2 linked regions of the Tamandua tetradactyla genome follow. The protein of the gene in region 2 interacts with the protein of the main gene of each other region in a biochemical or structural test. Links are inferred from orthologs where the notes say so. Each region holds a gene or a part of one and is shown on either strand. Other genes may lie near its edges.

Region 1 (7,391 bases), on a different chromosome or scaffold from region 2:
AAGATGGTAATTGAAAATTCAGTTACATTTCTGCTATTTACTTTTGTTCTTGAGGACAGAGTATACACCAAACCTCTTCAGTCTTTATAATGTTGCTAGAGCCCCACCCCACAGTCAGCCTGATCTTAGAGGATTCTCTATACACTCCTAATTCCCAGCCACCAGGCCTACCAAGGTGTTGTGGCTATTAGGACAAATGCCTCCTCTTTTTAAGAAGGTCATTTGCATTTTTATAGATATTCAAGATGGGAGACAAGGGTTTCCCACTCTTCACTGGAAGACTGAAATTTGGGCATTGTAACTTGCAAGTAAAAGGCATTTTCGTAGAAGAAAACTTGATTGACAAAATGAGCTAGGATTTCGAGGAGAAAGAGCACACTGTTCAGAATAATTTCAGCTGTATTCAAGTGTGAAAATTACATGGGATGTGGAACAGTAGAAGCCTCATGAAATCCCCTTGTATCCTTCAAGGCAGTCAGAGGTGACAACGTGAAAATTAAGACTGAGGTTTAGGAAAGTTGAAGTTGAGGAACTTCAGGGTGGATGCCTGGAATAATCTCAGTCAAGTATGAGAAGGATCACTGGAAGAAGGCTGAGTGCAGAAGGGACTTGAGAAGAGCAGAAACAGGACAGGTTTGGTAAAAGTATTCCAGATCATGTGCTAGCAAATCACCCTACTTGATTATGGAAGGGATTTGGGGAGTCAGTGAGGACCCAGCCAAGACTAGACAGTCTGAACCTTTAGAAGAACTAAATGATTTTGTAACTTTTTCCAGCAATGCTTGGTAGTACAGGAGCAAGTTGAAAAGAAACCATTCAATGGAATGTAACAATTACAAAAAAAATGTTGAGTGACAACTTAATTTCAGGCAACATTATTCATGGTGGATTTTATTAACATTTTAATCATTTAAAATATGAAGTACACAGTATCAAAATACTCAACAAACCTGTGATCTTAGATAAAGACAAACAGAAAAGATGATGTAAGTAAAAAAATTAATCAACTATTTTCTGCTTGTTAGCCTAAGGGAAGAGAAAAATAAATACCCATTTTCTCTTTGTATTAGACACATTTTCCATTTACTTAGTGTTATTAAAACCCAAATCATTGCTATTCTGTCAGTACATTAAAATGTATCTTATTTATAAAAAACTGCATTTTATTTTTTCTATTCTCTAAACACAGAGAGAGAGAGAGAGAGAGAGAGAGAGAGAGAGAGAGAGAGAGAGAGAGAGAGAGAAAGACAGAAGAAACAAAAGCATGAGTTAATTTCCATGATGGCATGGCATGAGACAATACTTCCTGGCCCCTGCTGATCCCTTCCCAATTCTTGAAAAGGGCGGGAGAACATTCACATGTTCAACTGATTTATTCCTTGGTTCAACCTTGTACAGAATTGCTAAATTCAGATTCAACTACAAATTGTGGAGAGTTGTTTTCCTCAGACAAGGTACTGTATTAACACACTTTATCTTGGATTATATTTTTGTAGTCTTAAATTACAGTAAGATAGAAACAGTAGCAAATAATATCCCCTGGTTCAAAATTCAGGACAGTAGTTAAAATATGTAACTGATGTCTAACTTACACATACATTAATCTTTTTCTCTCAATAAAATGTTTCTTATTTACAAAAGCCTGTCAGTTTTTTACAGAGTGTGGTCCTTCCAACAGGACAGAAACTAACATAAGCATAGTCTTGTTACTAAAGAGATTAATATAAAAATGGCAAAATCACCAAAAGAAGGAACCTAAGAATATCTGTAGCTATATGCTGGAGCAATATATTGCTTAAAAAAGCCTAATAAAGTCATGAAGTCCCATTTTAATAGGTGGTATCTAATTATGAACATTATTTTTAAAAATGATATTGAAAAATTAGCACAGTAACTTTAAATGAAGGAAGTAAAGGACTTGGTATGAAGTCTCAAAATTTCTGATTCAATGCCTCGGGTCATTTAAGAAAAATCAAATTTAGAGATAAACTGAAAAAATCCACAAAACAAAATCCATATAACCATAATCTATTTTTTTTTCTTTTTGTAAAATAGTCAGAAGGCAGGAAGAATTGACTGTGTCATCTGTCTTTTCCCAACCTGTAACCTCTTAGGGGAAAAAACATGCACCTGCCAAGCTCATGATGCAGAATGCACACACAGCTGGGTGTTTAACAATCTTTCAGTGAGAAAATTAAAGGTTTGTGTTTGGGGAAACCAGAAAAGGTGTGCTCACCCTTTGGCACCAACACACAATTTCAGGAGCCACCCTGTTTCCTTATCAAAATGGTGTCCAAAGTAAATCCTCTTTTGAGTGTCCTTTAGATATTCTATAAGTTTGAAGACCCAAAATTTGGAAGCAAGATTCTCCCCCAGGGAAGGGGGCGTGGTCGGGAATAAGTGGAATTCAGGTAGATCACTGATATCAGAAGGAAGCATCAATTTAAGGGATGAGGTGCAAACTCACCTGGAGAAGCAGAAGCTGCACAAGAGTCAAAGGTCAAAGAGTATAACCTCAGGGTCTACCAAGGCCCAAGAGAAGTGAAATGCCCGCTTCTGGGCTCTCAGCCTCAAGGATACGTATAGCGGTTCCCAGTGCCTGCCTTTGACGTCCGGGACAAACCCTACCATGCACGGTAGAGGGTGACAGGGAGGCAAAGCATTACCTAGCCAGATTTCTGAGCCTTTGCCCGGAATTCCCCTCCACTACTTTACCTCACCCCTTCCCTTGCCTGAGACACCTTCACCTCACTCCACCTTCTCCAGGCCCTCTTGCTCTTAACAGCATCGGTCTCTATGGCAACCTGAAACCGCAGCTCCCATTGGCCTGTTCAATATGAGGGCCGGGCCAATGGGAGGGCCAGTCTTCTTCTCCCGACCAATAGGGCTGGCGGGGAGCCTGTCCGGAGACGGCAGCGTGCTGACGTTCCCGGGAGCCCGGGGCCGGCTGGGCAGGCGGGCTGGTGGCTGGGCGGGCGACGGCGGCGGCGGCCTCTGGGCAGTAGAGGGGGCTCCGGGGCTGAGTCCGTGTCGACGCCGGCCGCGGAGACGGCACCATGGGCACTGGGTAGAGGGGCAAGTTGGCCACCGCCGCCGCCGGGGGTGGTGGGAGAGCCTCTCCGGGGCAGGGGGCGGGTGGGGGAGGGAGGGGCGGGCACCCGCGCGGCCACTGCACTTTTGTAATTTTTTCGGGTGCCGCAGCGGCGACCACTCCGCGCTTATGTCTCTGACCCCCGGAGCGACGACGGCCGCTGCTTAACCTGGAAAGTAAGTGTGCGGGCTCGCGGGCGGGCGCGGAGACTCCTGCCCTCGAGAGTCCGGGTCCTCGCCCCCTCAAGCCGGAGCCGGGACCTGCCTCCCAGGGCGCGGAGGGGGACGGCGCTTCCCTCCCGTTACTCCATCCCCACCGCCTCCCGGCCGCCTCGGCTTTCCTGCCCCGCCTCGTGTTCCTGCCCGCACTCGCCTGCCTACTCCCCTCCCCCCGGCGAGCGCACAAGTTTCACCCTCCATTTGCTTTTCTCCGCGATTACTCTCCCCGGCTCTCCCTGCATACCGCGCACGACCCTTCCCCACGTTGGCCTTTTAGGTTCCAGAGTCCCTACCTCCGAACTTGGTCGCGGTGCCGGCTCTCTCCCGGACCTGTAATTCGGCAGCTTCCCCGCTCCCGCCCTCCTGGCTCGCCACCCCGCGCCCCCGGCACCCCGGGGCGCCTTCCTTCCTCAGCTCAGGGGCCGTCTCTTGATCCCTCTTATCCTGTATACCGCAACCTGGCCCCCTCCACATCCTCCCACGCCCCTGCTGCCTGCACGGCCTCGGGTTTGCCCCTTGTCCGGCACTCCTATCCACCACCCCACCACCCCCTCTGTCCACTAAGCCCCACTCTCCTGCCGCGCGTCCTCACGCTCCACCCCTCCTGGTTCCTCAGCCCTGAGTCTCCCCGGCTGCTCTTCTGCGCCGCCGCTTCCCCCTCTCCTTGCCAAGAGTTAGAGCAGAGCTGCGGCACCCCTCTGGTGGATCGGGTGTCCCTACCCACCGCTCTGGCGGCCCGCCCTCTGCCTTTCCCCCCTACTCGGGGAGCCAGGGGGCGGGCAGCGGGGCCGGGATTTGGCTGCGTGTTGGCGGAGTGCGACAAACAGCGAGCGCGGGCGCTGGAGGCGCCGCGGCAGCCGCGGGGCGCAGCAGTAGGCAGGTGTGTGTGTCCGGGGGGGGTGGGGTAGGGGAATGAGGCCGCGGACTCCTCGGCTGGCGACACATTGTGCAGGAATGCAAGGAATGCACCAGGGGCAGAGTCCTCTCGGCCTGCCGCGGCTTCTCTAGTGCCTTCCCGGCCCAGCTCTAGTCACGCTGCCAGAGGTCACCGGAGCATCTTCGGAGCTGGTGAGGCTCGCTCAGTTCCTCTCCTCCTTTTGCCTCGTTCCATGCGGCAGAGAGGGCGGCGCGGGGGAAGCGCGGCAGATCTGCTGGGCACCACTGGCCTTTCGACTGGGTCTTTGCTGCATTGGTCTCCAGGTCCGTGGATTTGCGTCTGATGGTGATGTAGCCAAGGTTATTGATCATTGCACAAGGCTTTTTTCTAAGTTTGGTTTACAAGGTTTCGATAGTGCCTCGTTTTTAGGAGGTTTTTCTGAAAACCTGCAGGAACGAGGGGCCGAAGGTTCCTGGAGTGATGAGGTTGCATGTAGCCAACATGTTTCAGCTCTATCAAAGAATATCAGTTAGTGCTCGTGAACGGGGGTGTACTGCAACAGAGATCTTGTATGCATCACTTTGCTGTCATAGGAATTGTAATTTTCTTTTTTACTTGTCATACTGGACTGTGGTTAGACCTCATATAATACATAATGAATAGAAACAGAGAAGCAGTGTTTGGTCAGCGATGGGACAGATAGAACTGTCTGGTACAGTTAAATTCAGGGCGTGTCAATTACCATTAGAAGTAACTCAGGGACACCACAACCACGTCCATTTCAAGATGTAATTTATTAGTGGGGTTGCAGCTCTTTCTCTTTTTGATACTGAGTTTGGCTGCAAAAATAAATGCAGCCCTACAACTTTAAAGGAATGGTAATTCACTTATGTGTAAAATCGATTATGATTAATATCTATTTTTGGTCAAATTTTATTTTCCTTAATAAAGAAAAGCAGAGTTTTGGCAGATGATGTTTCTTAAGAATTGGACTTATATTCTTGCATTTTAAAAAGAAAAGTAGAAGTGTTTCTCTTTTTTAGTGTAGTTATGTTGTTAAAGAAATATCTTCATTTTTGGTGCCTGACAAATAGTTGTGGATAATGACAACAGGACAATGAGAACATATGGCCACAATAAATATTATAAGATGTTGGAGAAGCATACTTTGTGTGCTTTTATCTGACACAGTTTGCTTTGAAAATTAAGTATACTCTAAGACCTTCTGCACATGGTTATTTTGTATCAGATTCAGGAAAATAAGTCGGTTGTCCATCAAGTCAGCTGTTTTCCGACATCTACTTTGTGTGAATCACAGGCATTGAAGAGATGAGAGTCTTTTAGTAAAAGATCCAAGAGAAAGAAAAATAGAGGAAAAAATTTTTCTGCTAGAGGAAAAATTGTGTATTTTGATTGCTGCATTGTTGTCTAGGTATATCCTTCATCAGTGGACTTTTCTAATTTAGAAGCTTAATTTGTGTCCAATAACACTGTGGAGATATTGGGAGATTTTGTAAATGCCAATAGGAAACTTTTATTATGCAACAGTATCATATTACAGTAGAGTCTAACACATGCTTATTTAACTGGATGTGAAGATTAGAAAGTAAAAGCAAATTTAGTTTCTCTGCTGCATTAAAAATTGAAATAACCATTTATTTATATGGATATTGTATATACATGATTGGTTGCACACATAGTTTTACCTGCTTCAGAAACCTTTTGGTTAGAAATATAGCACACAAAAGTTGCAGGCCTATTTTTATAGGTTAGGGTCATTTTATTTTGTTTGTTACAGATATTTGAAGAGAGGAAGTTTTTAATCTGATTATCCTTCACAATTGAAAATAGTATAAACTATATTTTGACCAAAGTACATTCCATCCCCACTCTGCCCCGACTTTATAAAAGGAGAGTGTGCTGCATTTGGTGTCATAAATGTTATACTAATGATTATAAAGTGGGGAAACCTATATCCAGTTATCTTAATTTTTACCTATACTGTTTTTAGATTGAAATAAGGAAGAAGAGGTTGTGATGGAAAGCATAAGAGAGGGGAAGAAGAAACTAACAGCAGCTTATATACCATCAGTAAAGCAAATCATGTACATTATTGCTGCATTTATATGCTGAATAAACAAAACTAAATTCTGTGAATGGCTCTAGCATAATTTAAATTTAAAGAAACTACTAAACTTAGTTTACTAAAACTTTAGCAATTGTATGGCCTTAAGTATTTGGATTAAGTCTTATATTAAATCAGAATTGTAATTTTCTTTTCTGAGCTATATAAATTGAAAAAGTAGTTTAATTTAAAATTTTGAAAACTCACTTAAATTGATTTTTAAAATCAAATTATTGCTAATTTTTAAACTGAGTAATTTCCATATTGTTGACCAGAGATCGACTTAAATAGGGAGTGTTCCTACCCTGGATGATGCCAACCATCAGGTAAGTCCAGTCCCTTACCTGAATGTTAGAAATATTAAGAAACTCTATAATATAATGGTTTTTTTTTTTTCCTATTTTGGTCAAGCTGTAAGACCCTACCTTGTTTAATTCTGAAATGAATACTTTATTTTCAGTCTTAATTGGAAGAGAAAGTGAGATTATTGTGGGGTTATTTCAGAGCACAAATATCCATGGAATTTTTTGCCACTTTAGGAAGTTGCCTTCACGCCTTCAGGTACATTGGGAGATAATTATACCTTCACTGTGTTAAACAGTTTTGTAGTACCCTTCCTGCAAGGACGTAAAACGTAACACCAGTGGACTAGAAATATTTGGAGTATTAAATAATGGTCTCGAGGCCAAACTGTGGCTACACATAGCTGCAAATAGAGAAAAGGAAGTAAAACTTTAAGGATACTTGCATCTAGGGCTTGGAATGCTGTCAGTAAGTGATGATAGCAGTTGGCAGATCTTTTAGATGCCAGTGGTTAGAAATGACAGTGTTCTTTCAGGGTGAGAATATCAGGCCCCAAGTCACAGAGAGAACAGCTATCCAGGTGCTTGCTGGTCTCAGGTAAAAGGTTACACAACTTTCAGATTTTTCTCAATTCGTTAATTTAATAGTTGAGCGAAAGTATCGAAATCTTTTGGGGCTATGTTAGCATTATTAATTTGGGGATGTTACATATTATTTAGGAGATGCTTTTCAATTGAGTTATCTGTAGACATTCAGTTTGTCATTGGCCTAAATTGT
Region 2 (7,479 bases):
AGTCCTTTAATCAATCCAGTCTCATATGGTCTTTTATTATAATCATGTGAGGTATGAAAGATAAATATTATTATAGCCCTTTCAAAGATGAGGAAATGATGGCTTTTAAGAATTTGTCCAAGGTGGAATAGCTGCTGGATGGCAAGTCTTGGATATGCTTTTCACAATAAAATGTTTAATATTTAATTAACCATAACACTACCACACTGACTCAAAATAGGTTTTAGATAGCAAAAAAACTGATCTTCTAATCAGAAGATTTTTTTCATACATGAACATGGTAAATACTGCTAGTTACTGATTTTGGAAATACTATTATTCCTTGAAAACATCTACAAGTTTCTTCTGATAGCAGCAGCAGGAACTATTTCTAAATGCTTCCTATGTGCCAAACATAGTGTTAAATACTTTATAAATATCATGCCTTTTGATCCTCACAATAACCTTCTGTGATAGGTATTATATTCTTTTTACAGATAGTAGTAATAGCTAATATTTATGACCACTTAGTCTGTGCCAGACATTGTGCCAAGTATTTTACATGCATTATGTCATTTTCATCAGTCCAACAATCTTCTGAGATAAAGTAGCCAGTTTGCTAATTGAGGTAATATATAGGCAAATTTGATGTTAGACTTATAGAGCAGGAAGCTTTTTATTATATATTATCCTGTGTAATTATATAATTTAAAGGACCTTCTGGGATTACCATTCCAGGGCCAGTTCCATTAAAAATAGTCATTGAAGTTCAGATTGGAGAGAAAGTAGGTATTGAGACAAAGTTATACTCAAGGTCTGTTTATATAGTATAACATTGTGAATGTAATTAGCTGCATTGAAATATATATTTAAATGTGGTTAAAGGGGGGACATTTTAGGCAGTATATATGTTACTAGAATAAAAATTTTAAAAAAGCTATAGTACTATACAACATAAACAATGGACACTAATGTAAACCATGAGCCATAGTGAATTAATACAGTGACAATTATATTAATATTCTTTTGCCGACTGTAACAAATGTATCACATTGTGAACCCTAATGTAAACTATGGACTTTGCTTAATAATATAAATGTAAAATATTGGTTCATCAATTATACCAAATGTATCCCACGAATGCAAAATATTAATAATAGGGAAAACTGTGGGGGTGGGGCTGTGGTATATGGCAACTCTGTATTTTCTGCATGATTTTTCTGTAAACCTACAATTTCTGTAATTAAAAAAAAAAAGTGTTTGTGCATTCCTTTGATACTTTTTCCAGATACCCTACCCGTAATTTTCAAATAAGATATGCTGTGAAAACTTTAAACTTGTGGGAGCACTGGACTCGCCAGGGCCCGAGTAAAAAGAAATTCAGTTTCTCCACTGCCCATTTGAAGAATAAACTATTCTTCATACCCAGTAACACATCATAACTTTTCCAAAGATAAAAATGGTGATAGGGTCAAAGAAGTCTGTTGTTTCAGGGCGTTTGTTGCTATTAATAAAACAGTCCCTCTGCAGGAAGCATACACAGACAACTCACAAAAACAGGAAATCCACTCAGGAACCTGCCTTACAACTCCCAGTCTGAACTCCTGAAATTGCCCTACAGCCACAAGGAATGGACATCACAAATTAGAAGTCAAGGAGAAGGCGGCAGATTCTCTAGACTTTAACTCAGATAATAATGCATTTATTTACAATCCTGTGAAGCCTAATCTAGACAGTTTAGAATAGAACTTTTTAGACCAACCTCCTCGTTTTACAGCTAAAGTAACTTGCCTGCTCAGAAGTCATTTCCCTGTTTGGAACAGCCCATCTCATGGAATTTTCTTTAGGGAATTCTCCCTGACTCCTGGTCTATGGGGTAAGTAAGGAGAGGGCTGAGCTCACCTTCAGCTCCAGGGGTGGCCATGTGGCCAGGTGTGGCCAGAATCACATTAAAACTGTCACTGAATTGAGTTAGTGCAGAGGTTAGAAAAGTAAATCCAGAGTGGGCCACCGTGGCTCACTGGCAGAGTTCTCATCTGCCATGCTGGAGACCCGGGTTCGATTCCCGGTGCCTGCACGCGCAAAAAAAAAAAAAAGTAAATGCAAAATCACAGTTATTGCCAAAGCTAGGACTAAATCCCAAGTTCCCTGCTTCTCAACGCAACGCTCTTTCATACCACCATGCCACATAAACTATATAAATTAAAGAAAAAAATTCCTTGCTAACTCAAAAAGTATTTGTAGGTCCCATTTCGGTGTTAATAAGCCAGACTGTCTCAGGATCTATGCTGCTCCTTGCTTTGTACATTAAGTACCTGGAATATATCCCCGTATTTCCTTCTATTTCCTCAGTATTCTCTGAGGCCATTTAGAAAAACTGTCATGGAGAACCGTTTGTCGCGGCCTGTGGTGCCGAGAACCGTTTGTGTCGAGATGAATCCCAGTGCTTCCAACTACCCCATGGCTTCGCCGTATGTGGGGGAGCTGCACCCCGACGTTACTGAGGCGACGCTGTACGAGAAGCTCAGTACGGTAGGGCCCATGCTGTCCATTCGGGTCTGCGGGGACGTGGTCACCCGCCGTTCCTCGGGCCACGCGTGTGAACTTCCAGCCGTCGGGGGATGCGGCGCGTGCGCTGGAGACCAGGAATTCCGATGTTATAAAGGGGAAGCCGGTTCGCCTCCTGTGGGCTCAGCGTGACCCATCTCTTCGTAAAAGTGGGGTGGGTAACACATTCATTAAACACTTGGACAGATGTATTGATAACAAAGCGCTGTACGATATGTTTTCTGCTTTTGGCAACATCCTTTCGTGTAAGGTGGTTTGTGATGGAAATGGCTCCAAGGGCTATGGCTTTGTGCGTTTTGAGACACAGGAAGCCGCAGAGAAAGCTTTTGGGAAAATGAATGGGATGCTTCTGAATGATCGCGAAGTGTCTGTTGGGCGATTTAAGTCTGTTAAAGAGCGCGAAGCCGAAGTTGGAACTAGGGCGAAAGAGTTCACCAACGTTTACACCAAGAATTTTGGTGAAGAAGTGAATAGTGAGCACCTTAGGCTTCTCTTTGCCAAGTTTGGGCGTGTCGTAAGTGTGAAGGTAATGACTGATGAAAGTGGAAAATCCGAACGTTTTGGGTTTGTGAGCTTTGAGAGGCATGAAGATGCACAGAGAGCTGTGGATGAGATGAATGGAAAGGAGGTCAGTGGAAGACACATTCATGTTGGGCGCCCTCAGAAAGAAGTAGAATGGCAGACAGAACTTAAGTGTAGATTTGAGCAGATGAAGCAGGACAGGATCACCAGATACCAGGTTGTTAACCTTTATGTGAAAAGTCTTGATGACCGTATTGATGATGAGCGTCTCGGGAAAGAGTTTTCTCCGTTTGGTGCGATCACTAGTGCACAGGCCATGATGGACTGTGGTCGCAGCAAAGGGTTTGGTTTGTGTGTTTCTCCACCCCAGAAGAGGCCACTAAAGCGGTTTCCGAAATGAATGGTGGACTTGTGGCCACCAAGCCGTTGTATGTAGCTTTAGCTCTGTGCGAAGAAGAGTGCCAGGCCCTCCTCACGGACCAGCACACGCAGAGAATGGCAGCCGTGAGAGGCGCGCCCACCCGATGCTCCATCCCCGCCAGCCAGCACCACCCTCACGTTTCTTCATGGAGCCCTCGCGTTTCTTCATGGCGCCCACCCCGCGCCCCGTCCCTGCCGGCACTGCCCTCGCGTTTTTTCATGGCGCCCTCGCGTTTCTTCATGGCGCCCACCCCGCTCCCCGTCCCCGCCAGCACCGCCCTCGCGTTTCTTCATGGCGCTCACCCCGCGCCCCGTCCCAGCCAGCACCGCCCTCGCGTTTCTTCATGGCGCTCACCCCGCGCCCCGTCCCAGCCAGCACCGCCCTCGAGTTTCTTCATGGCGCCCACCCCGCTCCCCGTCCCCGCCAGCACCGCCCTCGCGTTTCTTCATGGCGCTCACCCCGCGCCCCGTCCCAGCCAGCACCGCCCTCGCGTTTCTTCATGGCGCCCACCCCGCGCCCCGTCCCCGCCAGCACCGCCCTCGCGTTTCTTCATGGCGCCCACCCCGTGCCCCATCCCTGCCAGCCAGCACCACCTTCACGTTTCTTCATGGCGCCCACCCCGCGCCCCGTCCCCGCCAGCACCGCCCTGGCGTTTCTTCATGGCGCCCACCCCGCGCTCGGTCCCCGCCAGCACCGCCCTCGCGTTTCTTCATGGCGCCCACCCCGCGCCCCGTCCCCGCCAGCACCGCCCTCGCGTTTCTTCATGGCGCCCACCCCGTGCCCCATCCCTGCCAGCCAGCACCACCTTCACGTTTCTTCATGGCGCCCACCCCGCGCCCCGTCCCCGCCAGCACCGCCCTCGCGTTTCTTCATGGCGCCCTCGCGTTTCTTCATGGCGCCCACCCCGCGCCCCGTCCCTGCCGGCACTGCCCTCGCGTTTTTTCATGGCGCCCTCGCGTTTCTTCATGGCGCCCACCCCGCTCCCCGTCCCCGCCAGCACCGCCCTCGCGTTTCTTCATGGCGCCCTGGCGTTTCTTCATGGCGCCCTTGCGTTTCTTCATGGCGCCCACCCCGCTCCCCGTCCCCGCCAGCACCGCCCTCGCGTTTCTTCATGGCGCTCACCCCGCGCCCCGTCCCAGCCAGCACCGCCCTCGCGTTTCTTCATGGCGCCCACCCCGCGCCCCGTCCCCGCCAGCACCACCTTCGCGTTTCTTCATGGTGCCCACCCCGCGCCCCGTCCCCGCCAGCACCGCCCTCGCGTTTCTTCATGGCGCCCACCCCGTGCCCCATCCCTGCCAGCCAGCACCACCTTCACGTTTCTTCATGGCGCCCACCCCGCGCCCCGTCCCCGCCAGCACCGCCCTGGCGTTTCTTCATGGCGCCCACCCCGTGCCCCATCCCTGCCAGCCAGCACCACCTTCACGTTTCTTCATGGCGCCCACCCCGCGCCCCGTCCCCGCCAGCACCGCCCTCGCGTTTCTTCATGGCGCCCTCGCGTTTCTTCATGGCGCCCTCGCGTTTCTTCATGGCGCCCACCCCGCAGCCCGTCCCCGCCAGCACCGCCCTCGCGTTTCTTCATGGCGCCCACCCCGCGGCCCGTCCCCGCCAGCACCGCCCTCGCGTTTCTTCATGGCGCCCTTGCGTTTCTTTATGGCGCCCACCCCGCGGCCCGTCCCTGCCAGCACCGCCCTCGCGTTTCTTCATGGTGCCCTTGCGTTTCTTCATGGCGCCCACCCCGCGGCCCGTCCCTGCCAGCACCGCCCTCGCGTTTCTTCATGGCGCCCACCCCACAGCCTCAGAACCGCGCCGCATACTACCCGCCTAATGCAGTTGCCCAGATAAGACCAAATCCTTGCTGGGCTGCTGGGGTGCCGGGCCTCATCTATTCCCAAGTACTTCTGGCGCTGTGTGCCCAGCCATTCCTCCACCACCATTTAGCGCCACGCGACCAGTTCCTCCACAGATCCCAGGAGTCCTCGCAACCCTACGTGCCGCCACTGCGGCAGTGCCTCCGATGTACCCGTACCCTGTGGCGGGGCTGCTGCTGCTGCACCTCCTCCGGCCATTCGCACGGTTCCACGTTACCGATATGAGGCGGGAGTTCGCAACCCGGAACATCTTCAAGCAACGCCACGAGTTACTGTGCAGCAACCTGCTATTCATGCTCAAGGTCAGGAACCTCTGACTGCTTCCAGGTTGGCATCTGCTCCTCCTCAACAGCAAAAGCAGATGTTGGGTGAAAGGCTCTTTATCCTTAGGGAAGCCATGCGTCCTGCCCTTGCTGGTGAGATTACTGGCATGTTGTTGGAGATTGATAATTCAGAGCTTCTTCACATGCTTGAGTCTCCAGAGACTGTGCTCAGGTTGATGAGGCTATAGCTATACTACAAGCCTACCAAGCTAAAGAGTCCCCAGAAAGGAGGTGACAGTACCACTGGTGTTCCCACCGATTAAAATTGGTCAGGGACCACGAAAAGTAACTTGTGCTTTCTTGAAAAGTACTTAAATGTTGTTGAAAAGTTTTAAGTTAAATATTGTTGAAAAAAACCTTTGCAAAATATAAAATAGATTTTAAAAGGACAGGAAACTTTGAACCTTCTGTAGTGAGTAAATGCCAGGTCTAGCAAACATAGTGCTGATCCTATATTACTTACTGATTTATTTAAAAAAGCACACACAAAAAAGAAAATATAAAAACAGATTCATGTTTTATAGACCATAGAAAAAAATAAGTTTTAGAATAGTACAAAAATTTAAAGCATTTCTTTCTTTAGCTTGGTGTAGTTCTTTACTGTGGAATAGCTTGGAATCTGTTTTAGATAATAGAATTGATAGATAACTGAGCAAGGAAATGTAATTTAGTTTGGTTTATAAAATTCTTGCTTTAAAAAAATTCCTTAAAGAGGGAAAAAGTCATTAAGTGAACATATTTGCTGTAACTTTGTAAGAGCACTGTATAGTTAATTGATTGTTCTACCTTTTAATATATTTAAAACAAACCCATGTACTACCCCAGAAAAACCAACAACTTCTGTAAGCCTGCTTCTAAAGAATTTTGTGTTAAAGCTGCATTTATATTATCTAAAATGTTTAATTATTTTAAAAAGTTGTGTGTTCATAAAATAGATTGCAATTATAATAGGGTAAATTCTGGTTAAAAAAGATTTTAAGTATCATATAGAAGTTAAGAGAATAAGATAATAAATTAACTAGTAAAATGAGTTCTCTGTTTAGAAAGAAACCACCTCCAGGTTGAAGCCATGCTTTACACATGTGAAATAAAAAAGAAAAATAGTAAAGGTCTTTTGTAGCCCTGACTTTAATAAGTATTAATTAAGCAGTTGGAGGTTTTAATTAAAAGGCTATAATCTTACCTGCAACTACTTGAAGGGTCAAAATATACTGTTTTTTAGGAGAGGAGGTTGCTAGATAATTAGTAGATAAATTAAGTGGAAGGGTTCCTGGTAAAGGTTGTTGACAGGTCTCAGGTATACCAGGCAATGGGAGGAGTTTGTATTACAATATTAACATCTAAGTTGCTGTTAACTTGGTGGGAGTTCATCTATGGCCTTAAGACCCAAAGACTTTCAATATAGATAAAGTTTTTCTTAGAGCTTAAAGGAAATAGAATTTTTGGTAGTGATTGATAAGCCTTGAGTTTGTTGAAGTAAGAACTTTTAAAATTGCACTTTGGTTTTCTTGAACTCTTGTTATGTAGTGTATTTTGATTTATCTTTAATAAATTTTGTTATTGAAGCCTAAAAAAAATTTATCATATGTCACTAAGATACCTCTATATATTCAGTCAATAAATAATTGTACTATAATTTATAGCCATCAGAAAAAGCAGGCCAGGAAAGAAATGGGAAGGAGTAAGTACCCCATCAGGCTTATACAAAATAAATGCATTTATACTTTTCTAAAACTCCAATTATTTTTGGACCAATTATCTATGTTTCAAATCATTCAGTCCCTTTGCTACTATCTCA

Evidence for each region.
Region 1: the proteins of ERBIN (region 2) and PKP4 form a complex in vitro, tested with the Homo sapiens proteins (4 studies listed by BioGRID and IntAct, with this or other methods). The link is inferred for Tamandua tetradactyla from reciprocal best matches to the Homo sapiens genes ERBIN and PKP4.

Annotation. Positions count from the first base shown.
Region 1 is NC_135329.1:128,877,402-128,884,792, forward strand, and holds the start of PKP4 (plakophilin-4), read left to right. Parts: upstream 1-4,389; 5' UTR 4,390-4,418; coding exon 4,419-4,509; intron 4,510-7,391. UniProt on the Homo sapiens protein: Plays a role as a regulator of Rho activity during cytokinesis. May play a role in junctional plaques.
Region 2 is NC_135335.1:113,753,736-113,761,214, reverse strand, and holds the start of ERBIN (erbin), read right to left. Parts: upstream 3,012-7,479; 5' UTR 2,295-3,011; intron 1-2,294. UniProt on the Homo sapiens protein: Acts as an adapter for the receptor ERBB2, in epithelia. By binding the unphosphorylated 'Tyr-1248' of receptor ERBB2, it may contribute to stabilize this unphosphorylated state.